4 linked regions of the Drosophila melanogaster genome follow. The protein of the gene in region 1 interacts with the protein of each later gene in a pairwise test. Each region holds a gene or a part of one and is shown on either strand. Other genes may lie near its edges.

The links.
Region 2: the proteins of SkpB (region 1) and CanB interact in a two-hybrid assay, tested with the Drosophila melanogaster proteins (one large-scale study listed by BioGRID).
Region 3: the proteins of SkpB (region 1) and Acox3 interact in a two-hybrid assay, tested with the Drosophila melanogaster proteins (one large-scale study listed by BioGRID).
Region 4: the proteins of SkpB (region 1) and PGRP-LA interact in a two-hybrid assay, tested with the Drosophila melanogaster proteins (one large-scale study listed by BioGRID).

What each region holds. Positions count from the first base shown.
Region 1 is NT_033778.4:12,137,048-12,143,559, forward strand, and holds SkpB (SKP1-related B), read right to left. Parts: upstream 3,183-6,512; 5' UTR 2,938-3,182; intron 2,880-2,937; 5' UTR 2,878-2,879; coding exon 2,392-2,877; 3' UTR 2,248-2,391; downstream 1-2,247. Other genes in the region: CG18343 (uncharacterized protein), read left to right, coding at 1,811-2,110; Smyd4-4 (SET and MYND domain containing, class 4, member 4), read left to right, coding at 3,904-4,167, 4,224-5,347, 5,460-5,793.
Region 2 is NC_004354.4:5,329,456-5,336,726, reverse strand, and holds CanB (calcineurin B), read right to left. Parts: upstream 4,229-7,271; 5' UTR 4,209-4,228; intron 3,986-4,208; exon of another isoform or gene 3,900-3,985; intron 3,675-3,899; 5' UTR 3,627-3,674; intron 3,358-3,626; 5' UTR 3,323-3,357; coding exon 2,810-3,322; 3' UTR 2,278-2,809; downstream 1-2,277. Other genes in the region: XRCC1, read right to left, coding at 4,540-4,658, 4,717-5,045, 5,108-5,196, 5,257-6,513, 6,575-6,625. UniProt on the Drosophila melanogaster protein: Calcineurin is a calcium-binding and calmodulin-binding protein found in all cells from yeast to mammals, and a calcium-dependent, calmodulin-stimulated protein phosphatase.
Region 3 is NT_033779.5:6,442,960-6,451,146, forward strand, and holds Acox3 (Acyl-CoA oxidase 3), read right to left. Parts: upstream 4,904-8,187; 5' UTR 4,891-4,903; coding exon 4,648-4,890; intron 4,477-4,647; coding exon 4,342-4,476; intron 4,282-4,341; coding exon 3,791-4,281; intron 3,715-3,790; coding exon 3,237-3,714; intron 3,173-3,236; coding exon 2,902-3,172; intron 2,838-2,901; coding exon 2,683-2,837; intron 2,619-2,682; coding exon 2,328-2,618; intron 2,271-2,327; coding exon 2,160-2,270; 3' UTR 2,111-2,159; downstream 1-2,110. Other genes in the region: retm (real-time), read right to left, coding at 6,893-7,173, 7,734-8,055.
Region 4 is NT_037436.4:9,330,873-9,340,370, reverse strand, and holds PGRP-LA (peptidoglycan recognition protein LA), read right to left. Parts: upstream 6,040-9,498; 5' UTR 5,936-6,039; intron 5,762-5,935; 5' UTR 5,742-5,761; coding exon 5,444-5,741; intron 4,683-5,443; exon of another isoform or gene 4,614-4,682; intron 4,318-4,613; exon of another isoform or gene 4,079-4,317; coding exon of another isoform or gene 3,988-4,078; intron 3,660-3,987; coding exon 3,438-3,659; intron 3,386-3,437; coding exon 3,150-3,385; intron 2,918-3,149; coding exon 2,711-2,917; intron 2,646-2,710; coding exon 2,502-2,645; 3' UTR 2,035-2,501; downstream 1-2,034. UniProt on the Drosophila melanogaster protein: Peptidoglycan-recognition protein probably involved in innate immunity by binding to peptidoglycans (PGN) of bacteria and activating the immune response.

The sequences.
Region 1 (6,512 bases):
TTTTCAACTTGGAACTGTGCAACCCAATGAATTATATAGTGCGTTGGCATCACTGTCACCACATGGTCACATGGTCGTGGGGTCGTGCCTTATTTATAGCCCTAGAGCCCGTCCTCCTGGGCTTTGTGTCAAAGTCAGGCTGTCAGTTGCATCAAGTCGAGTTCAGTTCCCTGAAGTTTCGTTTCTAGTCCAGAGTGCAGTTGCAGCCCAGTTGGACATCTGTTTGCACTTTCCGCCTACGTCCTTTGTCCAGTGTCCACTTTTTCATATAGTTTGCGGCGGAAAAGCTGCGTGGCAAAGAGCATGGCTAATAACAGGTTGACAGAAAGAATAGGGAAACTGAATTTTTGGTAAAATCGCTATGATCTAAAGCATTTTAGGTCTAGCTGCTCTCATGGTTTCACACCCACTGTCTGTAAGTAATAAGTACAAATATACATAAAAGACCCTACTTTGCGCCATTTATTCACATTTGTAAGCTGGGTGGGCGACTTGACTGCTATTTAATTTTAATTTTGCCGGCGAATAGTAGACGCAGTACGTTGAACCGAATGAGCTCTAAGAAAAATAAAATTGCTCGTTCGCCTGTCGTGATTGTATTCTTTTTCATTTTTGAAGCATCAGTTTCAGGTATCGTTTTGCACGGCAGCCATTCCCTGGGGAATCCCTGGGATTTAACAAATTTTCAGCCAGTTCAATGCACAGCGTTGAAGTTTAAAGGTCGCCATTACAATTATGGCCAGGTTAGCTTTAAGACACTGTAGTTTGAAAAAAAAAATGGGTTTGGCCACTTTGATAACTCGAGAATGGAACCATCAGTGCGGCATAGCAGTTTGTCTTAGTACTCCAATTTAAATGCACGTTATCCAGAGAACAAACCACAATTTGAAAAAACACCTATACTTCATACATTATTGTTTAAGCTGTATTTTATTAGTGACATTAATTGCAATAATTAGCTGTGCGGTTGCTAATGCTGCTAATTTAAAAACTTTTCATAAATTTAATCAAACGCTCTTGGTTCTGGTTGTGATAAGTGAAACAGCATTTATTGATAAAGTGCGGTTTATTTTAGAACTTATTTAAAAATTGAAAGGTACAAGCTATTTTTAGAATATTTTGGACTTCCTGCCGATGCCAAGCATTAAACACTTATAGGTTGTAAACAAAAAGTTTTGCATATTTAATAAAACCAATTATGTATTTTTTATGTTTTCGTAGCTATAATTAATTTTTTTGTGATGTACTACACAATCGCCGAACATTAAAAACCGTAGACTATCACATACCTCTTACTTATAAAGGCTTTAGACTTCATCTTTGTCGCGGACCTGTTTGGGGCTATCGACAGTTAGTCAAGACCCAATTTAGAGCCGCTAGAAGTTAGAGATATTTGAGTCAGGACTTTACTCCGTTTCGATTTACTCCGTTTTAATCTCAATCTTAATCTCAACTCTCTAGGATCTATTGTTTCTGAGATCCCGACATTTATACGGACGGACAGACAGGCGTACTCGGCTATTGATCCTGATCAAGAATATATATACTTTTTATGGTCGGAAACGCTTCCTTCTGCCTGATACATAATTTTCAACGAATCTAGTATACCTTTTACTCTACGAGTAACGTTTATAAAAATTCTATCCATTTCTCATACCTCGATGTTTTGAAAAAATGCAGTGCTGCCACTACGATCGAAATGCGGTCACACTAGACAGCTGATTTTTTCCAACTGGAAGATTTGCTTTGCACACTGGACAAAGGAAATGTCCCATTTGTCGGCTTATCCAGCATATACGTCAGTCTAAACATGGAGAAAAGCTGCAGTATTGGCAACGGACGGGAGCAATACGGCTGGGGACATGGCGAACAATGCGGCACGCAGTTCCTTGAATGTGTCTACAGGAACGCGTCCATGTACTCTGTTCTGGGCGATCTGATCACATACGTGGTGTTCCTGGGGGCTACGTGCTACGCAATACTTTTCGGCTTCCGACTGTTGCTGTCCTGCGTGCGAATCGTCCTCAAAGTGGTTATCGCCCTCTTCGTCATCCGATTGCTGCTAGCTTTGGGCTCCGTCGACATCACATCTGTTAGCTATTCCGGGTGAAGTGACCAATCTGGCGAATGCCATCGGGACCACGGCCTTTAAACTACATTAACTAAATCAAATATAAATTCCAAATTGAAGAACACTGTAAATTACATTAAACGGTTTGTCATTAATTCCTTTGTTAAAGAGCACTTGCCAACATTAAAGCATAATATTTTATTTAATTAACCCAACAGAACAATTGCTGACTCTTAACATGATCAGCTAACTATCTCAATTGAAATGTTGATTAAACAAAAAATTTAAGCTTTAATTTCGTCATGGTAAGTTGATGGTATTCATTTATCCTCACACCACTCGTTCTCCTTGCGCACCTGTTCCTCCTCCTGTGGCAGAAAGTCATTCTGGATGGCGAAGGTGTCGCGAATAGCCTGCGGCGACTTGCCCTTGATCATATTGGCCACCGTCTTGCAGGTGACGTCGAGCAGACCCTGGATATTCAGGTAGTTTGCCGCGAGGATCAGTTCGAACAGCGTGCCCTGGTCGACTTTGAGAAAGTCAGCGTCCCAGGATGAGATGTCATCAGTGCGCTTCTCCTTGTTCTCAACCTCTTCGGTAACCACAGGATCGTCCTTGTGATAGGTGGCCCAGTGGAGCACTTTCTTCAGGATCAGCGAGTTGACATTCGGCAACGGCAGCACACTGTTGTCGCTCTCATCGCCCAAATCCTCTATTGCAATGCGAATCGTTTCCGAGCACTTGGCGATCTCCTGATCCGTGTCAAAGATCTCCTTGTCCGCAGACTCCAGCCGAATGATGGGCATCTCTGCGTAAAAATTTTTATTTTTGCTTATATCTATATTTTCAATTTTATTCGTACACACCTCCTGCTGATTTGGATCCCAAGATTTGATACGAAATCGGTTTGATTTATTTGCAGACGCAGCCAAACAAAATTTTTAGACACAACACGATGTCACTTAGCTGTGGCCTACTGGCTAAAAATAATATTCCCTTGCCTTCAACTTGAACCGGACTGGTGCGGCGGCCGCCTGAGAACAGAGCGTTTGTTAAATAAAGAACTTGGCTGCCAATAATTCCCCGGATTCTTAGAAAACTAGAACGTCGTACGATTTGAAGAGGAAATTTGTTAGTGAAACGGCCGCCAGTGTGCACATACTCGGAATGGCTTTAAAAGATGGCGCCTATTACAGTTAATGGTGTGGAGACACTGTGACAGCTAGCGGTAAACAAAAGCTCAGTTATATTTTTTTATAATGTATATATATATATTTTTTTTAAACATATATATTTTGGCACAATTCAAGCGTGCTGGGCGTTGTATTATTTAAACAGAAACCTACAAAATTCTGCCTTTATAGTTAGTTTTTATCCTGTTTTTATTTAATGAATTTCAAATTTCAAATATTTTTGTAAACAATTTTAAGCTAGGCCAAGGGTTTGTGTCGCGGCTAGTGCAAGCAGTCAACTTGCGGCATTTTTTAGTACATTTCCCTCTGTGCTGGGTTATATATTCGCAGGCTATACTCCACACTGCTTCCAGCGGAATCGTCAAAAAAATAACATTAAAATCGCCGTGTGCATAATTAGAATATTTCCGAATAGTAATCGCCCGTGAAATCGCTAATTAGCGGTCAGCACTTGCGCCAGTTAAAGAAATCGCGGCACCGGCAGTGGGCCAAAAGAACATTTTTTCCGGCTGAAAAAAACAGGCGGCGGCGTCGACACGCGGACCGAACCAAAGGATCCGAAGCCATCCGATCAGATCTAATCCGATCCGGAGAAAATTCCAGGACACTAAGGACTTCCGAAACTACCCCGCACAAGAGATGGACGTGTACGACGTGAGCGATGATCTGATAAAGAAGCTGCAGGACTGGAAACTAATCGGCATCATATCCGGCAAGTTCAACGAGCTGAAGGAGAACCATCGCAAGGTTGACTTCGTGATGCGCGCTCTTATTGACTTCAAGTACATTGAAAAGATATTCCTGAATGTAACGCTTCGAGAGGACAAGTGCAACAAGCGGAGCGTGGAGTTCCGTATGCTGGGCAACGAGCAGTTTTCGCTCAAGAACAGGAATTACTTCCAGGTAATCATTGCCCCCTCAATCGGCAAACTTAAGCTAATCCCTGCGACTCGTTTCAGGCTCTAGAGCTGTACAACAAAAGCATCTGTTATGCCGAACCGAATTCGGAGCACCTGTCCATCGGCTATGCTAATCGGTCGGCGGTACTATTCGAGTGGAAGCGCTATCGGCAATGCCTGGACAATATCAAGCTGGCAAGGCAGGCCAACTATCCGGCGAGACTGAGCCACAAACTAGACAAGCGAGAAAGGGACTGCCAACAGCTACTCGATCAGCAACCGCCGGATGTGGTGCCCTATGAGTTCAAGCTCAGTTTCGAACCGCATGCCCAGGTGCCCTTCATCGCCGACTGTTTGGAGTTGCGCGAAACCGCCGCCGAGGGTCGCTTTGTGGTGACCAATCGGGATTTGGCCGTTGGGGATCTTGTGTCCGTGGAGGAGCCCTTCTGCTCCACACTGCTGACGCCGATGCGATACATTCGGTGTGCCACCTGCAAGCGGGAGAACTATCTGACCCTCATACCCTGCGACAGCTGCTGTTCCACGATGTTCTGCTCCGAGGAGTGCAAGTCGATTGCCATGCAAACCTATCACCGCTACGAGTGCCCCATCATTGACTTTCTGAACCGCATGTTCAACAAGATCCACTGTATCGCACTGCGCACCACACTGGTCGCGCTGAATATCTTTCCCAGCATCGAGGAGCTAATTGACTTCTGTGAGCAGGAGCAGAACCAGGACAAGTGCGCCTTTGACCTCAACTACAACGAGCTGACGCCGGAGGAGCACTACCGGGCCATCCATGGACTGGTGACAAACCAGCACCTGCGCTCCGTCTCCGATCTCTTCCAGCGCTCCGTGGTCTGTGCTGTGCTCAAGCACTTCATAATCGAATACACACCCGTCAAGGAATATTTGGGCGGCGAAGAAGGCGTGAACTTCTTCACGGACCTCCTGTTCCGACATCTGCAGACATCTCCCTCGAATATGCACGGCATCGACCTGGTCGAGCAGGTTAACGAGACCAAGGACGACCAGACGCACTCGTCTGGGGCGTACGCCTTCCTCTCGCTCATAAATCACTCTTGTGCGCCGAATACTGTAAGGATATACGAGGGCACCAAGGCGTACATGTTCGTCCTGCGGCCTATTAAGGCGGGAAATGTGCTCTACGACAATTACGGGTAAGTAGTAACCAAAGCATTCTGACCACACCACTTTAGTTCAAGCTAATAGGGGTCCAAGTCACTGCAGCTCTCTTCAAATACTAAAACTAATAGATATCCAACTTTTTAGTGCTCACTTCGCCATCTGCAGCAAGGAGCAGCGTTTGAAAAGGCTGTCCCTGCAGTACCGCTTCGACTGCAAATGCGAGGGCTGCGAGCTGAACTATCCTATGTTCGGAATGATGCCGCACAAGGCGACGGTGCCATCGGTTACCGATGACACGGAATTGGCACTGAGCTCCTACAACTATGATTTCGCGGTGAGCAACTATCGAAAGTACTGCGACTTCCTCACGCAATACGGTGACGACTATCCGTGCGAGCAGATTAGCTCCGCGGAGGAGTGCCTAAAGATGGCCCTGCATATCATGGCGGACGCAGTGCCGCTCAAGGCGAAGATGTAATCGGATCCTGCCGCTGAACCAACCCACACAACCAACACGGACGAACTTTTCCTTTGCTAACTTTAACTGGAGACAGCGTATTACAAGCGAGACACAAATCAAGGAGAGTAATTGATTATACATACATGTTGTTGCCATAAGTCTGTAGCGCAGGCAGCAGCGCGATGGGGAGGGAGCATGCCCTTAACTTTTATATTTGTAATTGTACATTTTCGACCTTTGATTATGTTTTACCCCGCACCAAGCCCGCACACCACACCCACACAACGCCCAGCACACCCACACAACGCCCAGCACACCCACACAACGCCCAGCACACCCACCACACATTTCACAACAATTCGAAAGTTCAAAATTCTAAAGTTTATTTATTTTTTGATCACAACAATGTCTTCGATGAAAACAAACAAACAAAGGATTATTATGCAACCTACGTCGTTTTTATAATTATTTTACAAAAACCAACTGAAGCAGAAATAAAATATTTTCAAAACGAAGTGACTTTGGCCTCAAGGCATTTTGCTGTACAGGTCCAGCAGGTTCTGGTTCAGCAAGGATCCTCCCCGGGACATGGACGTCGCCACCTTTTCCGAGGACGATGCCGATGTCGTGGGCTGCAGCTGTACAAACTCGCAGCCAGAGGAGCTGGCCGCTGTGTCATTGAAAAGCACATTGCCGAAGGCCTGCTCGAACTGCTGCTGGAACTGGCGGGCGTTGAT
Region 2 (7,271 bases), on another chromosome or scaffold:
ATTTGGCATTTGTTTTCGCAGGCCCGCTTTTGACTTAATGCCACAATTATTATTGCAAAAACACAACAGCCCAAAAGGAAAACAACGCACAAAACAGGTAACATAAACTAAAAAGCTTTTATTTTCCAGGTGTGCATCCAGGTGTGGGCATCGAAAACTAAATGCCAGAGCCCATAAGCCCAGAGATTTCGGTTGGCCAAGGACTATGCGGAATGAAAGCTGACAATTTCGTTTGGAGGCTATGCGATATCCCTAACCTGTCCGAACTCCATTACACACACATGATATATAAATATATATATGTGTATATGTATGAAAGTATATATGAGGTATATTGATTTGTGTTGGTGGTAAACAGGTATATACCCCCTCCCTTCTTCGCTCGCCAGCCCATTAAAATTGGGAGAATTTCTGTACATGCATAATTTATAAAAACCCGTTTGACTAAATAGTTGCCACCGAAACGAAGTTATTCAAGCGAAATAAGTTTGAGGCAACTTCGGCCAACAGAAGCGGCAAAAAGGTATCCAAAAATAAACGGAGACAAAAACAAAAAAAAACACACACAAATACAAAAAAAGGGATCAATAGGTTTTGTGGCAAGATGGGGGTGCCTCAGATTTTGGGATGACATCAATGACCGACCGGTAATCTTTCGATAGAAAATTGAATAATATTTGCCCGAAGCGCAGATATACATATATTATGCTATTATCTAAACTTGATCATCTCCTCGCCGTGCCCGGAAATATATAAATGTATATATCACCTGTCCCATTCGAAAAACCCATCGAAGTAACAAATTGTATGTATGGCCCATCGATTAATACAAGTCCCGTGAATGAAATGATGGACGCATTGGTCGGTATGGAAATGCTCGATTATTGGGGACCGGCGACATTACGTACCATCCGAAAATTGGAGCACATTAATCAAACCAATTAATAGCAATCGGAAAAAGGTCAAACCGTGGGCTCGTGACGCAGCAACAGGAGCGAAATTAGTGGGCTGCAGGTTGCTCCTTGGGAATCGTGTGTACGGGTATACGGGTGTACGGGTGTAACTTCAGCATTAACCCTACTAATTTTCAAAATGGAAATGCCTTCATTTGGAGGTCGGATTCGAAGCGTGGGCAGGTGGCAGGGGGCGGGGGGCAGGGCCCAGGCGAAAATGATTAACGAACCAGCTTGCGACAGACAGCATATAATAATTTATTGATACCACGCACACACACTCACGCATTCTCGCACACTGGCGCACACAAAGGACCCTCGCAGGACCTCCCTAGTTCACTAATACTGTGGCCCAATCGCCCAGCAGGTGACTCCGTGGTCAAGGCTCTGTTACCGTACAAGTTCTACGCGGACCCAACAGCTAGTTGGCTGGCTTCCTGTTGTCCACACTGCGAGAAATTCTTGTTGAGTTCGGTACCAAAAATGTGGGAAATATATAAAATAGTATTCTGCGGCAGCAGGGATGATCTTCTCCAACTGATTTGTATTGAACAACATGGCGTATACGTAACATTTTTTTAAGTGTTTTATATCAACATGGATTATCATCTCTTAATGCTTTGCGATATTTATGTTCTATTTTAAATCCACAGGAAGGCTCCGCATTCGCAAATTTGTACTGAACAACGTGGCGTATACGTAATATTTATGTTTCATTAGTAGATAGATGTTTTATATCAATGGATAAACTTTTCCCACTCATTTGTGACATTTCTGCTCTATACTAAGGTAATTTTAATCTCAACATGGATGAACTTCTTCCACTGCTTTGTTCTAAACAACGTGGCGTATACGTAACATGTATGTTGGTGTGTCTTGTCACATGAGGGACGTCACACACACACACACGTGTAGTTGGAAAATCGGTGACCTACAAAACATTTAATCGTTGCCAACGGCCAAAAAGTTTTCGGTTACTTTCGGCCGGTGGCTTCCTTCCCACATTTTGTGGTGACCATCTTCTACGGGGTCGGCTTTCGGGAATCCGGAATTTCGGGCGCCGAGCTGAACGACACGCACGTGTTCTTCGTCCAAGGACTCGCGGACCGTGGAACTCTGAGGGCATCTGAACCCGCCGGCCAAAGAACCCAGCCCACATTCGTCCACCTCCCATCAACAGATAGTGGTAGTACAACGAAAAATCACCAAGTAAACGCTTGTTGGGGGTTTTGAGTTTAGCTTTGCGATAAACAGTGTTTAATTGTAGTTGTTGTTGTAGTTTTCTTTTGTCAATTTTTTTTTTTTTTTTTTTTTTGATTTTTTTACATATCTTATACACAACATTTAGTCGAGAGATGAACTTAAGTGTTAGGCTTGAATTGAACGTAGAGTTTAGGATATAGTACAAACTAGTTTAAGATGATGCGAACAATCCCAATCGTAGAGCTGTTCGAACCTCGAAAGTATGTCATTTCGAATGGAAGGAGGAATGGAAGGAGGGGTATAGATGAGTTCTTTGGTTGAGTGGTCCGTTGCCGGTGGTTTCAAGTATGAGTATAAGACACAATTCATTGCATTCTGTGGATGATAGAGATCGATCGGTTTGGATCGTTTGGAACAAAGTGTACTCTATATATATGCGATAGGTATCAATAAATTGAGTAAACTGCTTCGTTTTTGGCACGCCTCAAACGCCCTCACAGACTCACAGACAGACCGTTTATTATAAAGCTGAACATGTTTCAAGGGAAGTGAAGGTACACACACACACACACACACTCATTACGGAAAATCGGCTATACATATTGTATCATATCTACAATTGTATATATATAGTACTCATTATGTGGCTCAATCTAAACATCGACAACCATTTTCTTGTGAATATCGGTATTGCCCACCACCGAGCAGAATTCATCGAACGATATCTTGCCATCCTCGTCCTTGTCCGCAAAGCAAATGGTCTTGTCCACGATCTGCTGCAGCTGTGTGTCCTTCAGATTGTTGCCCACCATCATCTTGAGCACCTGGAAGAGTTCCCCGTTCGAGATGTAGCCATCATTGTCCATATCATAGATGCGGAAGGCGAATCGCAGCTTGGACAGCTTATCGCCGCGCACGCTAAACTGCGACACTCCCTGGATAAACTCCTTGAAGTCCACCTCCCCGTTTCCATCCGCATCGAAGATATCGATAACCCGCTGCACCAGCGGATTCTGCTGCAATTCCGGCAGCGACATGAACTCATCTATGCTCAGCGCACCCGAGTTGTCCAGATCCAGCTTGCGGAATCGCTTGCCCAGCCTACGGATCTCGTCCGCATCGAAGTTGGAACACATGTCCATGGGCAGGGAGGTCTCGTTACCCATGCTGGCCTTTGGTTACTTAGTTCTCTGGTCTAGATCTGCGAATGGAACGCAAGCGTTAGAAGGCAGGGCATTCTGCTCTACGGAGAAAAAGATGATTCCAAATGAATTTCGATAATAAAAAAAAATATATCATCAGAGAATTGAGGAACATTTGAGTTACCAATGAGAAAAATTAGAAGGATATTCGGTATGTGCAAAAACTGATGCATACTCCCAGGCTGCCCAATGTTCCACTTCTCACTGAATAGCTTCGAAATCATTTGGATTGCACTTTTTCTCAGCGTTTTCAGCACGACTTTCTTACCCAAAATTTTTGTTGTTAATAACTCAATTTTTCAACGACTGGCACGCTCTAAAAAAAAAAAGGGGGGGTGAAGTGCAAGTTAGCAGCATACTTTTAATTATGGCTCAATCGTATCGATTTTTCCAAATTCCACAACTTTTCACCACTCGTTTTCGCTTCAGCAAGGTTGGAGTGGAATCTCTGCAGTGGCACAAATCCGGATGGAACTGCGTTGGCCAGGATGCTTGGGTGAATCGCATTGCGAAAACGCAAGTGGTAGCCATAGATATTTACCATAAATAAACAATAGTTGCGCTGGATTGTTAAATTCCCAAAAAAAAAGCTCTCTACTCGCTCGACAGCAAATACACGACTGCAGGCGAGTGAGAGAGTTTTCACCGTTAGCTCTCGCCAACGAGTGGGAGAGCGCGGAGAGCGCAGCTGTCAAAAGCGGACAGCTGTTGCTTTTCCACCTGTTTTTTTTTTTGTTCTTTTCGGGGGCTGCAAATTGGTTTTCCACTTGTGCACTTTCGCTATCTTTTTAGTCTTTTTAATGCATAGTTTTGGGCGTAAACGGGTTTTCTTCGCTTAACCATAGCATGCCTATGGGTGGAAAGTCCTTGTAGTACCGTGCTATGCGTTAGTACATTTTTTGTGAATTTCTGCTAGAGATGGACCATCGCATTAGCCCAGAGGTGGTTTATTTGATAGTTTTTTTTAAATGAACATGCGATAGATCTATTATAATATCAATATTTATTCCTTGGGCTCTTTTTTCAAAATGGTCCAAACTAATCACTTATTTTGAATTTGTCGAATTTTTGATAACGAGCATATTCGATTAACAAAGTACAAAAATATGATACTTGCACATTACAAGCAATTTAAGTAATAAAGTCGTATACAAAATATGAGATGAGGTTAGAAATGGCACCTAATCGATTTGTTTCTTCTTTAGCTCCAGATAATCCTCTTCATCGGTACTAACTTCGTATATATCTTGCGATTTCGTCTTTACTGTAGTCCTTAGTTTGGCTTTCTTCGTTTTGTTTTCTAAAAGCAAACAATAAAATATCTAAAAAAAAACAGGGCAGAACAACAGAGAGTTTACCCTCAGCCACGCGCTGCAGTTCATCTTCCGTATCAATGCCCGATAAGGCATCTGGATTCATTTCCACATCATTCTGATCCGCTAGAGCTGTTAGCTTGCTATCCTCTAGCATTGCCACATCATCCTTGCTGGAATCGCGCCGTGGCCTCGTCGCCTCATCGCAAAGCTCCTCATCGCTCTCCGGCTGGCCAATGTCATTGGTATCCAGGGCGTAACGTCGCCATGGCAGGTACTTCTTCAGCTCATAACATTTCTCGATCCAACTGCGTGTCACAATCTTGCCCTTGCCCTTCACTTGATTGTATTTCGGTGTGTTTTTGAATGCGCATCTGTTTGGGTTTCATTTTAAGAATTAGCGGGCGCATACTAGATCAATCTGGACTTCACTTACATCAGATGGGTACATCCTGATCCCCAATCAGCCTTATACTTGGCTCCCAAGGCGACCGCTTTCGAACGCAAGTCTGCACGATCGGGATTCTGAAAGCAGAAGGGATGGGTTTAAATCGAGTTGTGATGCAATCAAAAGAATTTCCTTGCCTGTATGCCACTGATGACCAGGACCACACCCTTGAGTAACTGATTAAGGGGACGGTATTGAATCGCTGTGTCCACGATCTTTTGCTTTTTGGCGGGCGTTACTGCGACTGCGGTGGGAGATGAATGTCGCTTTTGCGCAGTTGGGCGCGAACTTTCCTTGGAATTCGAGGTGTCCGAAGATCTGTGATCATGCTTAGATTTCTCCTTCCTCCTGGACTTCTCCTCCTTCGAATGCGATCTTTCCTCTTTTCGTAATTGCTCTTTCTCTTCTTTGGCTGTGGATTTTTCTCTGGAGGACGAATTGTGCTCCTTTGCCGGTGGTTTGTCTTCTTTGCTGATTGACTTATCCAAGGAGTGCCTGCTTGACTTTTTCTTTCTGCTCTCCCTCTCCTTTTCCTGCTCCAATCGCCGTCGATCCTTGTCCGCCTCCAGATGCTTGCTCAGCCGTTGTTTCTTTGCATTGACCTCAGCGTCCTTCACGTCCTCATCATCGTCGCCGAACAAGAGTGAAGCTCGATTGCGATCCAGGGGCTTGGCATCCAATGGCGTCGGAGAAACCGATCGCAGAGCATTGAGAACTGGTGATGGCGACGTCGAGGTTTTGGGCGATGCAGCCAGGCTAGAAACCTTGCCAGCGCTCAGCCTTCGCAGGGCCGTGGAGCCGGCGTCCCGAATGGCCGCTGCTGTGGAGGTCGCACTGATCGCGGGCGACTTGTGCTGCGTCTGCTTCTTCCAGCTGTGAAATCTGTTCACTTGATTGTCCGTTTCCGAGTCCGGCGACTCCTCGCGCAGCTTAAAGGTCCCGAATTGCATAACACCCTGCGGCACTAGGGATTTGACCTTAGGCGCCGCAGCAGCCACTACATGCACCTTGACGAATGAGAGCCCGTATGGCACATGACGATTGAAGGGCTGTGTGCAGACTATCTGAAGCAGCTTCCACTTCTCCGGCAGTGCACTCTCCGCCAGCGAAGTGCTACTGAAACAGCGAACGCGATTTGGATTGCTGGAATTCTTGCTCTCGATGGGCGTCATAAACGAACTGGATAGCAGCAGCTCGCGGAAATCGTCCGCCTGGCAGCCTGTTCGACTGACCAGCACCTCGATGAAGGCGGCATGTTCGTTGCCAATATCGATGCCCGTAATCTGTTGCGGCTCCTCGAACTCCAGCACAACGTATGCGGATTTCTCTCCCGGCGCCTTGGTTCGCCACTTCTTGCCGGCGTTTTCCTTGAGCAGATTCGCCGCTACGTGCACCTGGCCAGCGGGATTGCATAGTTATATAGATGTACATTTGTTATATAGGAGCATTACTCACCGCATCTTCGCTGCTCACTTCGCGTACGGACTTGAAAAGCGCAATTGGCATTTCGCAAGTCGCATGAATTTACACTGAGACGCCGATGATTTTGCGGCAAATTGCTTTGCCGACAGTTGCGCCTGCGATTAAACTGATTGTCGAAAGGGAATTGCGTCGGTTGCATGTGTTGCCATGTGCGCTAGAATGTTTGTTTATTTCTTTTATCTTTTGATGATGGGCGGTGAATTATGCTGATTTTGCTTAACCAACTATTTCAAAAATAAAACCTGTATTGTGTGCACTAATTGCCCATCACTAGCTGTGCTGACAGCCTAGCTGGATATCGCTAAATATGGTCTCTTCGTCACCATATCAAAATACTAGCTAGTTAATTGGTTAACCAACACTGGTCACTTCAATTCAACTTTATTTCATTACGTTTATTAAGAAAATGCTAAAGATCTGTTTTGTTTGCAAAGGTTATTATAATTATATTATATTATATTATTCATTATATTCATTATATTATATTATATTATTCAAGAGATTAAATCGCCAAAGTGGCAGCGCTGGTGAAAAGCAAAAAAAAGGTGAAAGTTTTGAAATGATAAATTTGCACATAGAGATGAGCAGTGATTGCAAACGGTGACAAGAAACAAGATAAATATTTAGTAATATATAAAAATAATAACAAACCGTTAAGAAAAGCTAACGA
Region 3 (8,187 bases), on another chromosome or scaffold:
TTGTTTATGATACAGTCTAGATCTAGAAGCAAGCGTGCTCCTTTCGAATTTATGGGTTCCTTGTATCATATTTTATTTGGTATAATGGATGAAGATGATAGAGAGCAATTAGAAGAAAATATGAAGAATTTGTTAGATAACCAGAACAACCTTGATAAACTAATTCAAAAACAAACATCTGTGGTTGATTCAACTTCTAATCTATTAAAGAGAACAACAGAAGATGTTAACTCCAATTTTAGAAGTATGCAAATAAGAATTGAGAACATGACAGAAGTTCTTAAAGAAAATTATTATGTTTATAAGGAATCAATAAAATTCTTTATGATTACGAAACAGCTACACTCATTGATTGAAGAAGGCGAAAAAATTCAAGCAGGCATTATAAGCCTGTTGATTGATATTAATCACGGTAGGCTAAATACAAATATTCTCAGGCCAAATCAGCTTAAAAAAGAAATTGCCAAAATTCAGCAGAGTCTTTCGGAGAACCTAGTAATTCCAGGAAAACGGTCAGGTACGGAACTTAAGGAAGTGTATACACTGTTAACAGCCAGGGGTTTATTCATCGACGATAAATTGATCATTAGTGCAAAAGTGCCTCTGTTTAGCAGGCATCCATCCAAATTGTTCAGGCTTATTCCGGTGCCAATTCGAAATGAAGATCGGATAATAATGGTGCATACAACGTCCGAATATTTAATTTATAATTTTGAGATAGATTCCTATCACATAATGACGGAAGCCACATTAAATCAATGTCAGAAATGGCAACTAAATAAGAGAATATGCAAAGGAAGTTGGCCCTGGAATTCAGCGAATGATAATGCATGTGAGATTCAGCCTCTAAAGCCAGATAAAGCGGCGAACTGCATCTATAAAACAGTAGTCGACTCTAAAAGTTACTGGGTAGAGTTAGAAAAGAAAAGTAGTTGGTTGTTTAAGGTTCCTGCGAATTCAAAAGTCCGTCTGCAATGTACTGGCTCTCAAATTGAATTGTTTGATTTGCCTCAGCAAGGAGTTTTAAGCATTGCGCCATATTGTACGGCAAGAACCGACGATAAAATTCTAGTTGCCCACCATAACATTCAGTCCGAAAGTGAAGAATTATTATCAACACCTTATATAGGAGAAATTAGTGAAGCGCCGAAGATTATTTGGGATCCGCTGAAACTATCAATATTAAATCATACTGAGGAATTTGAACGATTGAATAATGAAATTAAATTTATGAAAGAGAACCATCAAAAATTGAAAGATTTACATTTCCATCATATTTCCGGACATGCTGGATTAATTATTGCTTTAATACTAATGATAGTATTAATAATATATTTCATACGGAAATGTGCTGTGCAACAAAGAATGCAAGCAATAACCTTTGCAGGTCCGTTGCCAGTACTATAAATATCAATAGTAAATAAACAATAAAATAATATAACAAATAAAAATATACAGTCCACTATATCGTTGTTTAATAGAAAATGTACTTCTACATAGAAAAAGCAAAATGTTTAAAATAAGTTAATTGAGTACAAATTGTTGAATTAAAAATAATATAAACCATAATTGTAATCCAATAAAATTAAAAGCCAGAAAAACTAGGCCCATTGAAATCTTAGTTGCAAAATAAATGAACATATATCAAATAAATACAGTCCACTACTGTTATAAATGCAACTAATATACTAATGTACATCTCAGCTTGCTGGCCCTTTGGCAGAATGTTCACACATGAACACGAATATATTTAAAGACTTACAATTTTGGGCTCCGTTCATATCTTATGTAAATGAATCGAGAGCGATAAATTATATTTAGGATTTTGTTATCTAAGGCGACATGGGTGCATTGCTCAAAAACATGTAATTTAAGTGCACACTACATGAGTCAGTCACTTGAGATCGTTCCCCGCCTCCTAAAATAGTCCCTTAGTGGGAGACCACAGATAAGGTCCTCGCCGCTCAAGATAGGCAGATGTGCCCGAGCGTGGGACCTCGATAAGGCGGGGACTATTTACTTAGGCCTCTGCGTAGGCCATTTACTTTAAGATGCGATTCTCATGTCACCTATTTAAACCGAAGATATTTCCAAATAAAATCAGTTTCTTACAAAAACTCAACGAGTAAAGTCTTCTTATTTGGGATTTTACAGTGAGTCTACAATTTGGCGCGCTTAAGGTAATCCTTGTAGGTAACATCACGCCACCAATGAGGACGCTCGTAGACACCTGGAGTGGAGACAAGCGTGCGCTGCAGATGCTGGTAGACCTGCGAAAGGATAGAATCTTTAGTAAGAGTAGCAGTTGCTTATGGTAGACCACTTACGTTTCCATCGCTCATGCCCAGAGGAGAGTTTAGAATAAAGTCTGTGGGAGCAATGGCATCCACCAGAGCAATGGCTTCGTTCTTCAGCAGGGGAAGCAGAGCCAGAATGCCCTGTTCGTACAGCTCCAGTTGGTTAGAGTTTTCGCGGAAGTAACCACCGCGGTAGAAAGCAGCGGAGTACTTTGTGACCAAGTGGGCGCCATAGAAGGAGAGCACCTGCTGCAGTACCTTCTTCTCAGCAGAGTCGGGCAGACCAATTACAAACTTATAAAACACGTAGTAGATGGTGCGCTAAAAGAATATTAAACTTGGTTATTTTACTATTTAGTTGGGGTTTAGAGGGTTGGCATCTCACCTCGCCGTAGATAATGGAGAGCTTCTGGGCGGCAAAGACCTGGATGTTGTTCCTCGTCTCAAAGGCATCCTTTCCTTCGCGCTGCTGTTCCTCAACTCGTTTCACCGTCGTATCCAGTTGCCAGACGGTAAGCCAGTTGAGGGCATTAAGTAGATCTATAGAAGTGCAATAAAATTGCGTTATTCCTATCTTATATTTGGATAACTAAGAAATACTCACTGAGCGGATCCAAAACTTCGGCAGGAGTTCGCTCCTGACCCTTGCTTTGCAGAATTGTGTCCATATCCTTCAGGAAGGAGACTGTCTCCAATGGGGAAACTGCCACGAAGTCGGCATTGTTGCGTTGCAGACTGATCAACCAATTGGACGCTTGCTGGATGAGCGTGTTGTTCTCGCCCTCATAGGTGCAGTTGGCATCGTTGTCGTTGCGAAGTTCGCCCAAGCCAGAAGATTTAAGATAGCCATGACCGCCACAGGCCTCGCGGCATTCCTGAGATTAAAACAATATAACCGATAAGTAAAAGTGGTTATATACATATATAAAGCATTCATACCTGGATGCCATCCCTGGCAGCCCAAGTGGCAACTGGTTTGAGTGCCGATGAGATCGCATGGATCTCCATGCCCGCTTGCGACGTGTCCTCGCCAGTGAAGCCCTTCATGGTCAAATCCACGTTCTCTTTGCCTATCCAGAGTGTGGCCACCCGCAAGGCGATTGTGGTGGCCAAGTGGGGAATTAGTCGGTATTGCTGTGACTGATACTCGATCACGGGCCACTCCGCCGGGCTGTTGGTAGGGCCAAACTGGCGTCTGCTGGCCGCATAGCGAGTGGCAATTGTCACAGCCTTGCTCAAGGCCACATACGTGATAGCAGTGATATTGACGCGACCCACGGAGAGGGCACCCAAGGAGGCGCCAAGGCGCTTACGCTCGTCCTTAATTTTACTGGTGTAGTTTCCCTGCGCATCGATGTCACCGGTCTTGGACAGCAGATTTGCCTTAGGGATACGATACTGGTTGAACATCACAAATCTGCAATGCCAAACAAATCGAAATTATTTCTGTTGCTGTTGATTAGTTTTATCAACTGATAGAAGAAAGTACTTGCCCGTTATCAATGCCATTGAGACCGATCTTTTCGCCCATATCGCCGACGGTTACGCCGGGGAATGGAAGCAATGTACGCTCGTCCCGAATGGGAACAAGGAAGGCCTGCAGGCCCTGGTGCTTGTCATCCGGCACGTACAGCTGGGCGTAGACGATTGCGTGCGTGCAAGTCTTGCCTAGATTACCGACCCAACACTTGGCCGCCTCGAAGTCTGGCGTGTGGATGATAAACTCCTGCCTTTTCACATCGTAGGTGGCACGGGTGCGCATGCCGAGCGCGTTGGTGCCGTGAGAAATCTCAGTGAGAGCGTAGGCGCCCAAAATGCGGTTGTCCGCGATCTTGGCCACGTACTTGCCCAGGCGGCCAGATCCGTTGGAGACCAGCGTGCTGGGGAACATGCCAGTTGAAAGGCCGAACTTGACCGAAGTGCTGAAATCGTAGCTAAAGATGGCCTGTCCGAAAGCAAGCAGAAGATGTGGGGTTCCAAGATACTGAAAGAAAGACAGGAGATTTAGGCAGCCACACTTTCAGGAGTACGCAACGCATCCTACCTCGTTGACGCCGTAGAACTGTTGCTCCCACAGAAGATGCTGCCGCTTGTTGGCCATTTCGCGGGTGCGTTCCAAATCGGATCCTGGCTCCCGCTGGTAGTCGGGGTGCTGTTCCATCCATTGCCACACCTTGTGCTAAAGACGGAGTGACATGTAAACGAATTACTCAAGTGTGCAGATAAGAAACGGGCGACGATTAGACCGGGCGGTTGGCGGCCTGCAGCTCCGACAAAAGCTATCGAGGCAGTCTGCACTTCGACCCCGCTGACCATGTACATATGTAACAAACTGGAAATGGTAACGAACCTTCAGCCGTATGTGATCCTCGCCCTCGAGCACCACGTTCATGCGCTTGTAGCAGAAGCTAGCCCGCTCACGGTACTCTTCCAAAGGTCCGCTACGGAAGTCGGGAAAGATCCGTTTGTCATCGTAGATGTTGGCTGCAGCCTTCTCCTCCCGGCGGCCGCTGTAATAGTCGCCCAGTGCGGTTAGTAATGAGTTCAGACCGTTTTGGTCACCACCATCGCCATCGCCTACTCCGCTCGCCATTGCCCAGAGAACTGGCTCTTGTTGGAATGTTGGATTGGTGGACGTTGTGGTCGTCAGTCGAGGCGATGGGGCTGTGGGGCAGGGGTACTTACTTTGTGCTCAATGCAACCATGTTGGAGTTCGATTCTAGCGACTGGTCTGGCTGCTTCGAATGCTAGGCGCGAAATGCTTGAAAGTCCAGGCACTCGTAACTATTATTGGTAAAATAGCCAATGTCCAATGGCCAGCGGCGATAAGAAGGAATCCGCTTATCCGCACTTCATGGCCAAGTAGCCTTTTAGTGGTTTGCATCCGCCGCGGATAAGATACGGGCCCTAGGAGAATGCGGGATTAGGGCGGCCCGTGCAGGTGGTGGTGGGTGCTGCCTGCGAAATTCGAATCTTTTAGCGGCCACAAACATTGCTTTAATTTCCTATCAGCCATCAGCCAACAACAAGCGCGATAAACAAACAATTTTAACCCAGTTTTTCACCATTGAAGATAACATAGTTTGACGTGACTTAAGCCATGAGAAAGAACGGTGTTATATAAATACAAAATGTGAAGTTTTTTAAATTCTGTTAATTATTATATAATATAATTATTTAATTATTATACATAATATACATAAATTTCATGTTTAATTTTCTTTAATATCACAATTCAATGTTTTCACAAAATGTTTTAGCGGGGGCGTTGCCAGACCTTCTCAAGGTAGCCAGGGCTGGAATAGTAGGTCTGGCGCGTAATTTGAATATTCTTTCTATCAGAAACGAGTCATTTGCTGGTCTAATTTTATCTATTTTGTTATATAAAAACATTACAATATATATAAAAACATTACAATCCACATTTAAAATATGAAAAGAGCATCCATATCCATACCATACAATTTTCATGGATTCTAAATTTGATTTTAATTAAAACTGTTGAATAGTTTATTTTTTTCAAGAGCCCACAATAAAATGCGAATATGTACATGTAATTGATCTAATAGCATTTATTTGATTACGTTCTTAATACAACTTACACACTTAGTTAACATGCACTCATTTTTCCTTCGTTATTGGCTTGTCAGTTTATTCTTACAATACACGTCAGATTATTTATAAAACTAAATTGTAAACATCCGCATAGTAATTCGTTTTTAATACAATAAATAATAACCAAAAAAACACACTGAAGTTGCCTTTTTTGATTTTAAAAACACTTTGGAGATTGATTGATATTAGCAATTAAGGGCGTACAAATGACGGGGTAATTAGTGTGCAATCAAAAACGTTCTGCATTCGAATGTTTAAAATACAATTTTACATTTATAATTATAATCTGACGTCTAGCTATAACCTACGTGTGTATTTCGAGTTCAAATCTTACATTTCACTCTTTTGTATAAGTTCTGGCTAAAATCCTTGCAATAAGCCATTTCGGCAATTTGTTTATTAAACTAATTAGGTAACACGTAGTTATTGATTACAATTTCAATTTTTTCTATTTTCGTTTCAGTGGCTGCGCAATCGCAATAAGTTCCTTAATTGTTGCTAAAAAATGTTCCATTAGAAAAAGCTATAAAAATTACGTCGCTTTTACATATATATGTACGCATTAAAACTTCATTTATAGAGCTGCTTACGAAAAATTCAAATTGACGATTCAAATAAAACGTTGCGTGATATTTTGGTGTTGCTCATTTAAACCGCTGATATTTCTAATTTTCTTAAGATTATCAATAATATGAATGCTTGTATATATTGAATGAATATAATAAATTTAAAAGGAAATAAATGGCCTATTTGAGCTAAATACAATTTAAAATCAAACTAACATTCTGCTAAACAACTAAAGACAACTAAAACACAAGATATTACCACTTTCGGTCTTAAAAGAATACGTCCGGCGTTTCAAATAGATTCAGGCTCTTCTCCATCAGGGTGCCCGTGAGAATGTCCGCCGCTATGGGCTCCTCCAATGCCGGGGATCTCCATTCGGCGCCGTTCGTTCCGCCATCCCCGGCTTTCTCATATCATCGACTCTGCACCGAGCTGGCCGCCGACGAGTTCGATGAGAATGCCGACTGCAGGCTGGTCATCGAACCCTTGTAGTTGGCCGAGCTGAGCACCTCGTAGAAGACGTTTAACTGGGCACCCGATGGACTAAACCAGTGCATAAGATAGCTGTCGTTGTGATGCATCACGTGCGACCCCTGGACGCTCTCCTTGTGCCGGCAAATCAGCGTTGGCTCCTCACGGAAATAATTGACGCCCTCGACGAAGTCCTGCAGATCAAAGTACGAGACGGCGGAATCTGTGGGCGAAGGGCATTTAATTATATGTAAGCTGTCAAGCTAATCAAGTTAATTAATTAAAAGGTTCAAAGTACAAAAAGCTTTATAAAATAAGGTTCAACTTTTTCGTATTTTACTACATTATCAAAACACATATGAAAAGCAATCCCTATCAATAAACCGGAACCAAAATGCGCGCGTTATCAATTTAATAGAGCCCTAGCAACAGATACCTTGGAAATTTATATAAATAAATATATACACAAATTAACATACGTTTTAATACTTAATTGTAATAGTAAACTATTCAATTTAAGCCAAACGTTATTAATTTGTTTTTAAGTTGCCTGACAACAAATTTTCTTTTCTTTTCGAAAGGGTGTAAGAGTTTCCACTTTCCGCATTTTTCGCTTTTTATCGTGGCTTTGTGTTTTTATAAAAGTGCTAAGTAAACAAAAACAACTTCTAATGAGGCAACAACATCGTGATATTCGCACCTTTGAAACCAAAACCAGTTCTCAGAACAAAAGAAAAACAAAAAGCAACATGAAAACCTTTTGTAAGTGCATTATTAACTCACCATTCTTTTCCGGAAGCTCCTGGGTGACCCGGTAGAGCGTAAAGTGCAGATCGTTGCGCATCACATCGAAGTCCCAGGTGAGCACACTCTTGGGATCCTCGTTCCGGATGAGCAGCTCGTGCGCGAATCCGGCCTTGAGATCCACACTCTTGTACAGATTGCGATGATCGTGTTGCTGGTTGGCAGACAGGCGCTTGCCTGGAACCAAAGCCTGTGCCGCGGCAGTGGTGGGCAGCTCGGCGGTCACTTCGTCGTCGTGATCCTCCAGCGAATTCATCTTGTACAACGTCTTAGGCACCAGTCCGCCCTCGTGAATCATGGTCTTTGTGGAAAGAGGACAATACGTTAGAGCAGTTTCTGGTGGGCAGGCTCCGTGGCTGTTGGCTTGGACTGAGCACATGTATGACAGCCGCCGGGTGAACAGAGAGATTAAGTGACGTGGACATGGACGCTG
Region 4 (9,498 bases), on another chromosome or scaffold:
AGGGAGAGCAGATCGCTGAGAAAAAAAAAACAAAGAGAATGATGGGGAGAGAGCGGTCGGCGTTTTTGCGTTTATTTAACCAAAGTTGTTTAATTTGAGTCCGATTTTCAGGCAGTCCAACTTGTTACCGATTTGCATTTTAATAAGTGATTTCTCAAAAGATCTTAAGAGTGCAACTCAAAAGCCTTGTTCCAAAAAACTTCTAAATCGTTTTAGAAAATATAATTTTTTAACATATAGTGTTTACATATTACATAATATGAACGCGTTCTGTTGTATTTTCTATCCTTTTTGTAATCTAGCGTTAACCAATAAAATGCAATGATTTAAATTTTCCTTAAAAAAAACTGTACATTTTAATAACTTATGATAGCGGTACAACTTTTTCTCAATCGAAACTGGTTTAAACGAAAAGCGAGTGATCCCAAGAAACCGAAAGAATTCCGATAACTGCATCTGGCGAGCTGCATATTTCGGTTTTTCCGAGCGTCATTAAGTCGCGGAACCTGTTCTCGATTTCGGGTTTTTTTTTATAAATCTTCCAGATATTAGTCAAATTTATAACGATACCTCCAGCTACGCCCCGTGGCTCGAGAATGGTCTCTCCAACTTCTCCCACCTGACGATGACTGTTTGTTTTTGTTTAGTTGTTTAGTCGTCCGCACCGACATCGACACAGACAAATCGGCGTATACGTATTATATATGTACATATGTATGTATATAAATATATATATTTTTTATTTATTCAACCAATAAACAACACAAATCTCCGGCTCTCTCCCGTCTACCAAAACACTTACAGACATTGCAGTGTGGGCAAAAATGTGAACATTTTAAATTGCGCTACCATTTCCGAGAATTGTTTTGTTTTGCGGCCCGCAATCGGTTTTTGGCTATTTCACTTTGTGGTACAGGCCAGTTATATATATATATATGTATACATATGTACATGTGTACATAGCTCTTTTTTTTCTCTTCCAATTCCAGCTTGACCCATTGTACTTGTGTTGAAAAATATTTAATGTAATTATAGGCGAACGGCGGTTCGGCGATCTCTGATAGTCTGAAAAGGGCGCCGGGAAACTGTTGATGGATAAAACGTAAAGAGCAACAAATTGGCGAAACGAATTCCGAACACGCTTACAGAAAAGAAAAATAAAAATATAATTATAAGTGGAAAGCGCAACGAGCTTTAATCGAAATAGTTGTAGACTATTTATAATATTTTTTCTCTCAGTGTTCCTGACTTACTGATAAGCTTGTTGAGTGGCCTTTAAAATGTATTATTTTATTGCAGTTAAAGTTCTACACCGAAACATCTAATGATTTATGCCTTTTGTAGCCAGGCAATCTATTCTTTGTTGACCCATTATTTTATTGCGAAAAATGCCAGTAATTATTGTAAATCATTTCCAATGAAGCAGATAATAATTTCTTTACAACGGTTGCGAAATCAATCACCATAGCTATTTTAATATACCTACCTCCACATATTTTCTTACCTTAATTATTATTAATTATTTTTACTTTTTTGGTTCCCTCTTCGCATATGTGTTTTTTTCTTCTTCTTTTTGGTTTTTACACGTGCCGTACTCTCGTCATTGTTTTGGCCAAAAATTCGTTCCGCGTTGTAGGTATAATTTTTTTTTTAAGGCGCCGTGAGATTAATTAGTCAATGAATGTATGTACGTCACTCTTTTGGGCAGGTTGGACTTTAGGTCATTGATGAAAAGAGGGTTAAAAGGCACACCCACTAGTTTATTAGCTTTCCATGTCGTCATAGTTTCAGCTCATCATTTGATGCGCAAGTTAAAAACATAAACATTTCGAAGGAGTTTCTTTTTTTTTTTACCAATATAAATCATCGAACGTACTTCTCTGTTGAGGGCTTTGAACTGAAGGTCGGTGATGATAGCAGATCTTATTGGCAAATATCCATTTCATTTTTAATATATTTCTCTGCTATTACCAGTCTTCCTGTAAATAGGATTGTAATGACTCCATATGATAACAAAAATAAAACATCATTATTATCATTGTACATATATTCACGTTGAAAGGCAGATAAATGACAAAGGCAGCCACAGCGATCACAACATCGTCTATATAAGTGAAGTGAAGTGAAGCTACCGATAATGATGTTGTACTGGCGCACAAAGGCTCTCATATATTTACACACACACACAGACACACACAAGATCGATGAGTGTTAAAGTCTATGAGGGAATAAAAGGGGTACTGGTATTGGCACTGATAGAGGTTGACTGCGGCTTGGGAATTTCCAGCTTTTTGAGCGACAGTAAAACTAAACAGAGCTCCAGAGAGGAAGAGAGACACTATATATATATATATTACTATAAATAAACCGCTTGCTCCCAACCGGTTTACTTTGGTTTCGAAGCCAGCATAACCGATTAAAAGAAAGCTCCATTCGCCTTAGTATATGTATTAAAATACAGTTTGTGCTTGGTTACACTTAGGTGGTAGAAAAGTCTGTAGCTATTGCTTGGCGTCCCACGATTCCGTTTTCATGCCCAATTCGATGCCGCAGGCCGGTGCTTCGTCCATTCCGCAGCCGTAGAAATGCGGCCAGTTCCGGATTTCTTGATACACATATGCACCCGGGCTTCTGGTCACCTTAGTCTGGAAAATATTCAATTAAATTATTATGTCACCAGATATGCCAGATATATAGTAAGTAATTATACCTGATTTTGCGCCACTAGTTTGTAGTCCACATCAATATTTCGATTGGCCACTGCATGGGCCAGCAGAAATTGGACACCTTCCAGCTGTTTGGGACCGGGCTTAAACCGGCCATAGTCGCCCATAAAGGTAATGGCCAATGTCTGGTTCGCATACGTGTTGGCCCAGTCCCAGCCGCGGCCAACGTAGATGTTACCCTCCTCCGAAACCTGGTCGAAACAAATTCGGAAATTTGACAATTTGCGTAAGCGGAAAGCGAAATGCCCAAAATGGCACGTGAACGTGATGGGAACACAAATGCACGCGCCGGGATTTCTTTTCCCTACTACACTCGAAGAAATTTTGATTTTTAAGGCTTAAAAAGTATTATACAAGGCTTATTTTAGGAACTATGTTTCCCATTGAGGCGCGTAAAAGAGTGCAGAACAAGAACAGGCTTACATAAAAATTGGATTGGATATCCGGCAGACCCTTCTCAGCAATGGCTGAATCCTGAATGGTGCGCATCTTGATGGAGCACTTGTAGATGTTATCGCAGGGCAGAGACTGCACTCCAATGTGGGTGATTAGGACGTAGGGAATGGGTCGCTTCAGGGGAATGGTCAGACCATGAGAGTTCTTCGACGCTCCCCACTGCTCTCTGTCGACGACGAGATGGCCGTTTCCTAGATTCGGAACTGTAGAATTGGTGAATTGGCTATATGGATTATACAAGTGCCATCCACTTACACGTTTGGTGGTCGTAGTTGTTGCCAAAATAGATGGCTTTATTACTGGGCAACTCGGGCTTGGGTCGATTGAGTTCCACGTAGAGCACAATCAATCCGGTGGCCAGGACCAACAGGATCAGCGTGATCAGCAGGATGGTGTTCCGAGTGACCCGCCTAGATGGCGACTTATCACGACTTCGATTGGCGTTGCCATTACCATTGGCATTGTTGCTGTTGATTCCTTAATTAGCGAAAGTCAATCAATTAGCATATGATTCACAAAAGCCAAGAAATTGTATCGTTTCAATGGATATATTGACTTAAAATGTTTTTGAAACATTTTACGGTTTTGCATATCAAAAGCATTTATATTTCTATAACAACAAACAAGTCGGAAACTTAAAATCATAATCTAGAAAATTTAAATAATTTTAAAACGTTTTTAAGCTCAATTATCTTTCAGGCCTCTAAATATTTTTTTCGGTGTCGGAAAACACGGATCTAGTTAAGCCTGTGAAAGCGCTGAGTAAATCTAATTTATTAGTAGATATTAGATTTTATGTATGTACTTGATGAATCCCGGGAGTGGGCTAAACTGGGTTCGGGTGTACGTCTTCTGCGCGCCGTGCGTTCCGAGTGAACTTTTAGTAACAGTTTCATGGCACTTCGATCCACTAAGCTTATCACACCTCTTCGTTATTGGACACAAAACACGGCATTATAAGCCTATATATCTATTATGAGTAATTGACCACTGAGTCATCGGTAACAAATATCATAGCAAATACTGGGAACAGCGGTGGTCTGCAAATTGATTGTTTTATAATGTGGTACAATGGGTTTGACCGATAATCGGACGGCGGAGTGCCACTGGTACCGCCACCGCACCTGAACCCGTCGCACAAACAACTGAAATGCGGCGCAGCTGTCGATGGAACAGAAAGAGAAACAACAGCCATACAAATTGCAAAAGCGCTGGAAGTCAGCCATCTCGCTCTACCCTTGCGTTGACATGTTTTGTGTTTGCTTGCGTGAAGAAAGGCCAGGGGTTGAGTTGACGAGGGGGGGGGGGGTGGAAGTGGTTGGAAGTGGGGTTTTGAGGGGGCGGCAAGGGTGCGTCATGATGATATCGCCGGCCTTTTGTTGCTGTTTTGGCATATCACATTTTTTACACACTCACGCTTTGCACTCTTACTTCTCGTATTTCTCTCTCCCTTTCGCTCTTCCGTACTACGTGACGTATGCGCAATATGCGCCGTGCATCGCAAGTGGCTAAAGTTTGATCCACAAACTAGCTCTCACCACCACCGAGTGCAACTGAGCGTTGAGTGCTCTCTTGTTGCTCGAGATCCCGACTTTTTATGTGTACGTTTATTCCGGGAATCCCGCCCCACGCTATTTGCATTTCAATTACATTGGTTTTTCACTCATTTGCTCTGTTCTTTTCGCTAAATTATTGAACCCATAGCCAAAGAATAGTGATCGATCGAGTTGTGGAACTAATTATCCATAATGAATTATACATATTTAATTTTTCTTTTCATTTAAGCTGACTAATTGCAAGTGCTAACATTTTGAACAAGATCTTCAGAACATGCAATTGTCGTATAGTTGAATTTGTCAAGTGAAATCGTAATAAAACACTTTATTAGTAATTAGTTTGATTCGTGATCTGAATCAAAACTTGCTGATATACCCAAATCGAAATTAACCACGATCTGGCAACTGAACATAATAAATTTAAAACAACCGGTTTCGAAAATAAATATATTATGTTAAAATAATTTAAATTTACCAAAAAAAAATACCTTTTTATTTGGGTAAAGTTCAGCACCCTGCACTATTTAGCTTAATATTTAAAAACATTGGGAAAAAAGTGAATAGTATTTGCAAAAAAAATATAATTATTCTCGTATATTATTGTTATATTGTTATACAGTAGAAATATGTTAATTTTATTAATTAATTGTTGCTTTAATTTTCCCGTTTACAACTATAATTTTCCATTCAGGATCGGGGACTCACCTGCAGCCGTTTGCATGGCGTGTGCCTCCATATAATCCATATAGTATATGGATACCGGTCCCTGGTATTGGGTCATGGGACCGATTACCACGTCGGTGGAGTGGTTGAGATTTATAACGCTGGACGGCTGGATAGCTGGATTTGTGAAGATATTCTGCGGTAACGGAAGGCCGGAGGATGAGGTCGATGAGCCGGCGGACGTGAGATTGTGCAACCTTTGGGCGGGACTCGCTCTTTGACGACCCTGAAGTGTCCACAGCGAATTATCGGTTGTGGGGCTATTGTTTTCCTCGAACATTGCCGATTCGTTTTGGATTGCTGAAAACATCATATGTTATGTGTCGTTATATTACGGGTTTTTCATAAAATTAGTTATTTATAAAGCCACTTATCTCCTGGTTTTTATTTGTTTTAAGAATGTATCAACGTAATTGCAGATAATAACTTTTATTTGCTCCTTAAAAGGCCATATGAAAAGGGCAAAAACCTTACCTTGTTTATGTTTTAAAAAGGGTTGCTTGAATATGACGATCTCAGATGATCAAATCTCAGAAAATCCGTGACTCTTTCCGGAGTACGTAGCTGGCGCGCCAGTCGAACGACAACTGCTCAAAGTTGCATTTCAGCCGGTGGGGATGAAACTGAAAAGTAAACAAAATATCGAATCCTCTCTCTTGGCTCGCTAACTCGGCACTATAGTGATTGCGATTCCATTAGCACTCACTCTCCGGTTTTTTTTATATTGTCATGGCATGAAAATCATTTCAGCTGGGAAATTTTTAAAGTTTATCTTGCATTTTTTACAATTTAATTGCAGGCCTATGACTGGCAGTCATTTGCATAAAGTGTCTGAATTTAGTGGAATAGTACTCAAAGCTAATCTGGAAAATAAATTAAATTATTAATAGTTATGTTCTAATGGGAAAATTTGAGCAATATAAAGCATTTATTTTATATTTTAAACTGAACTCCAAGTGTCGCCCTCTTGGGGATGTTAGCATAAGTAAGAGCCCTCAAAGCTTTTTTCAAGTTCAATGACTAGCCGAACAGGTGGCGTCTTAATTACGCATACGCACCGTTGAACCTCAATATATTCGAATATAAAAAAAACATTCAATGTTAAAATGTTTTAATAAATATAATCTAAAAGTGGAAATATGTTTTAAATTAGTTTGGCTTGCTGTACAAAACGTTTAATTTTCGTGCAATTTTTTTAAATACGTGTTCTTTTTAAGCCACTTTTTCTTTGTAATCCTTATCAAGCGCATCAATTTAATGTGCTCAACGCTCAACCAACAGCCACACGAGATGTCAGCCACTCGCTGCACGCTGTGCAAGCTTCACTTTCGCCACACGACGGCAACTGCAGCACTTGACTTTGCCATGGCTCTTGGTCCATGTGAACCGCCACGGCCCCTCATCACGATCCATCTCACCCATCCACCAGACTATGTCAACTTGGTCTTTTTGGCTTTCGGGCGGCAAGCGGTTTCATGCCTCACGGTAATACACTGAGAGAATTTGGCATAGAATTAGCTTACCTTAAAATGTGATCTATATTTATAATTTATTTAATTATTATAAACCATTTGTTTTCTATACCCTTCGCAACCCATTGACATCTAGGAATCTAAGACTTTTTGGGATTTTATCTTATGAATGCTATATTAATTCAAATTTCCGGTCAGGGTGGGGGGGATTTTCTCGCTGTGGCTTGGAGCCCGGTGCCTGGCTATTAACACGCTGCATGGCACGCAGCAAAAACAAAGCGCATACTTTGACGTCTGCCCTCCTAATGACGACCACGAGAATAACGACGACATGGCAGCGGTAGCAGCTTCCCAAGGGGCCACGACTTTATTCATGTTCAGTTGGCATTAGTCGACACCCCTCGCACCCCTTTGCCATACACCCTATTCCCCCAGCTTGCCCCCATTTTATTTTTTTTCGAGCTAGTCCCCAACTTTTGTTTTATTTTACTTTCTTTTATTCACCCAGCTGTCTGCGCGGGTGTGTGAGTCTAGCAGCCATTGTGCCACCAAACGCAGTAAATGGTTAAGGGTGGAGTGAAGTGAAGTGGGCTGGGTTTGGGGTAAAGCGGCAAACCGGGCGCAAAGACGCAGGTGAAAACCCCAAAGTGCCCTAGGACAGTGCGAAGTGCTGAGTCAAGTGTCAACTGCAAATGACATTTGCATTTCGCTGGCAGGGATCAAGGGGCTGATGACGGGGGGAGGGAGGCTCTGGAACCGCTCCGGTGGCTAGTGGCTGGTGGCTGGTGGTCGGTGGCAACGCGTCAACTACGACTGACATTTGTTTTAGTTTTTCTTCCGCTTTGCGCAAGCCATTTGGCAGTTCGCTGTGTTTCCTGGCCAACAAGAGCAATGGGCAGCGGCGCCCTGAAATATGCAACGAAAAGCGCAGCACAAAAAATGGCTCTGTGGAAATTTAAACTGTCATGGGTGCGCTAATACGTTTGGAGGCCCTTGCCACAGCTTCATCAGAGCCGATTCTGCAAACTTAAGAAAGATACGAGTTAAAGATTTCAGATACATTTATCAAATATCTTATCATCATATCATTGTTTTCCCTTAATTGTAGAATCCCCAACATGGCTGATCTTAATGCTGAACTGATTGGCTTTCGGTTTATGAACACTCAACAATCCAATTGATTAGTATGCGTCCGGAATCCATCAGCATCAGTAATATAATCGACCCAGACAGTATGCAAATTAGATATAGCCAAGGCAATGCACCGCATCTGCGGTAGCTGGCCATGTTAAATTGTGGTTATAAACTACATTAGAGTGCCATATAGTATCTATGTGCATCCATCTCGGCTTGAGTAGATGTGCATAAGTAGAATGCGATGCGTTTCATGCTTGAAATTGCTAACAATTTATCTGGCTTCCAAAAAAGCTGAGTTCAATCTCTTTATATCATTCGACAAATAGAAAATCGGATGACTTAGCAGTTTTGTAAAGAAAAGATGTAATGTATCGTACATCAAATTCAATATGCTGTATATAGGACTTAGAAAACATATTTCATATAATATGCCCTTAAACTGATTCTTCTTAGAAAATGCTTCCACAAAAAGCCCCTTTAAACATTTAAAACTGATATCGAAAAGTACATTCAGGTTTTGTTCGAGTGTGTTATGGCAAATGAAGTCACTCCACTTAACTGGCATTCCCCAAAATAAGTACAACAAATGGCGTTTCGAAACTATTTTTGACTTTTTGGCAACCGCCGGCAGCGGCAATCGCTCGATATTTCTGCCCTTTGTGTTTATCGTGGAACGTTGAATGTGGAGTATTGGAGTATATGCGTTTTCGATCTCCTATGGCTGTCAGAGTAAAAACAAACAGAATCAGACATCTCAACCAGAAAACCCAACCCATTCAAAAACACCCCACCATCCATCCGGAAAAATAAGAGAAAAAATTGAAAATCCCCATCACTCCCACACAATAAAATCGAAACTTTTGCATTGTACATGTAAATTGCCATTGCCTATCCCAATGATGCTCCCTGTTGTGGCCATTGTTGGATTTGCTGGGCGTTATGCAAAAGCAAAAAACTTTTCGCGCAGCGCATAAAATTTTATTTGTTGCTACTTTTGGGCTTGCGCTTGATTTGGCAGCTCTCACACTCGTGCACATGTGTGTATTGTATAATGTATGGGCCATCCTCCTCACTGATATTTGGCATATTTTGCGCACATCAATATCTCGCGTGCTAGTTGGCATCCATTCCAATACCAAGTGCACTTCGAAAAAAATAAATGCTGTCAATCATCTTGTCAAACATCTAATTCTTTTTACATAATATAAAATATAACTATATAACTATTAAGTTACATACTATTTGTTGCCTTGTATTATTACATTCTATTTTCTTAGAATTATGTATAGTATATACTTATACTATGTACTATACTATATATACATATTAATATATTAGTAGTTCTTAAGTATCTTAGTTCTGATATGAATAACGTTTTTTCTTTTATGCCACAGTTTTTTTTTTGCTTGTGCAGTACCAACATAGATA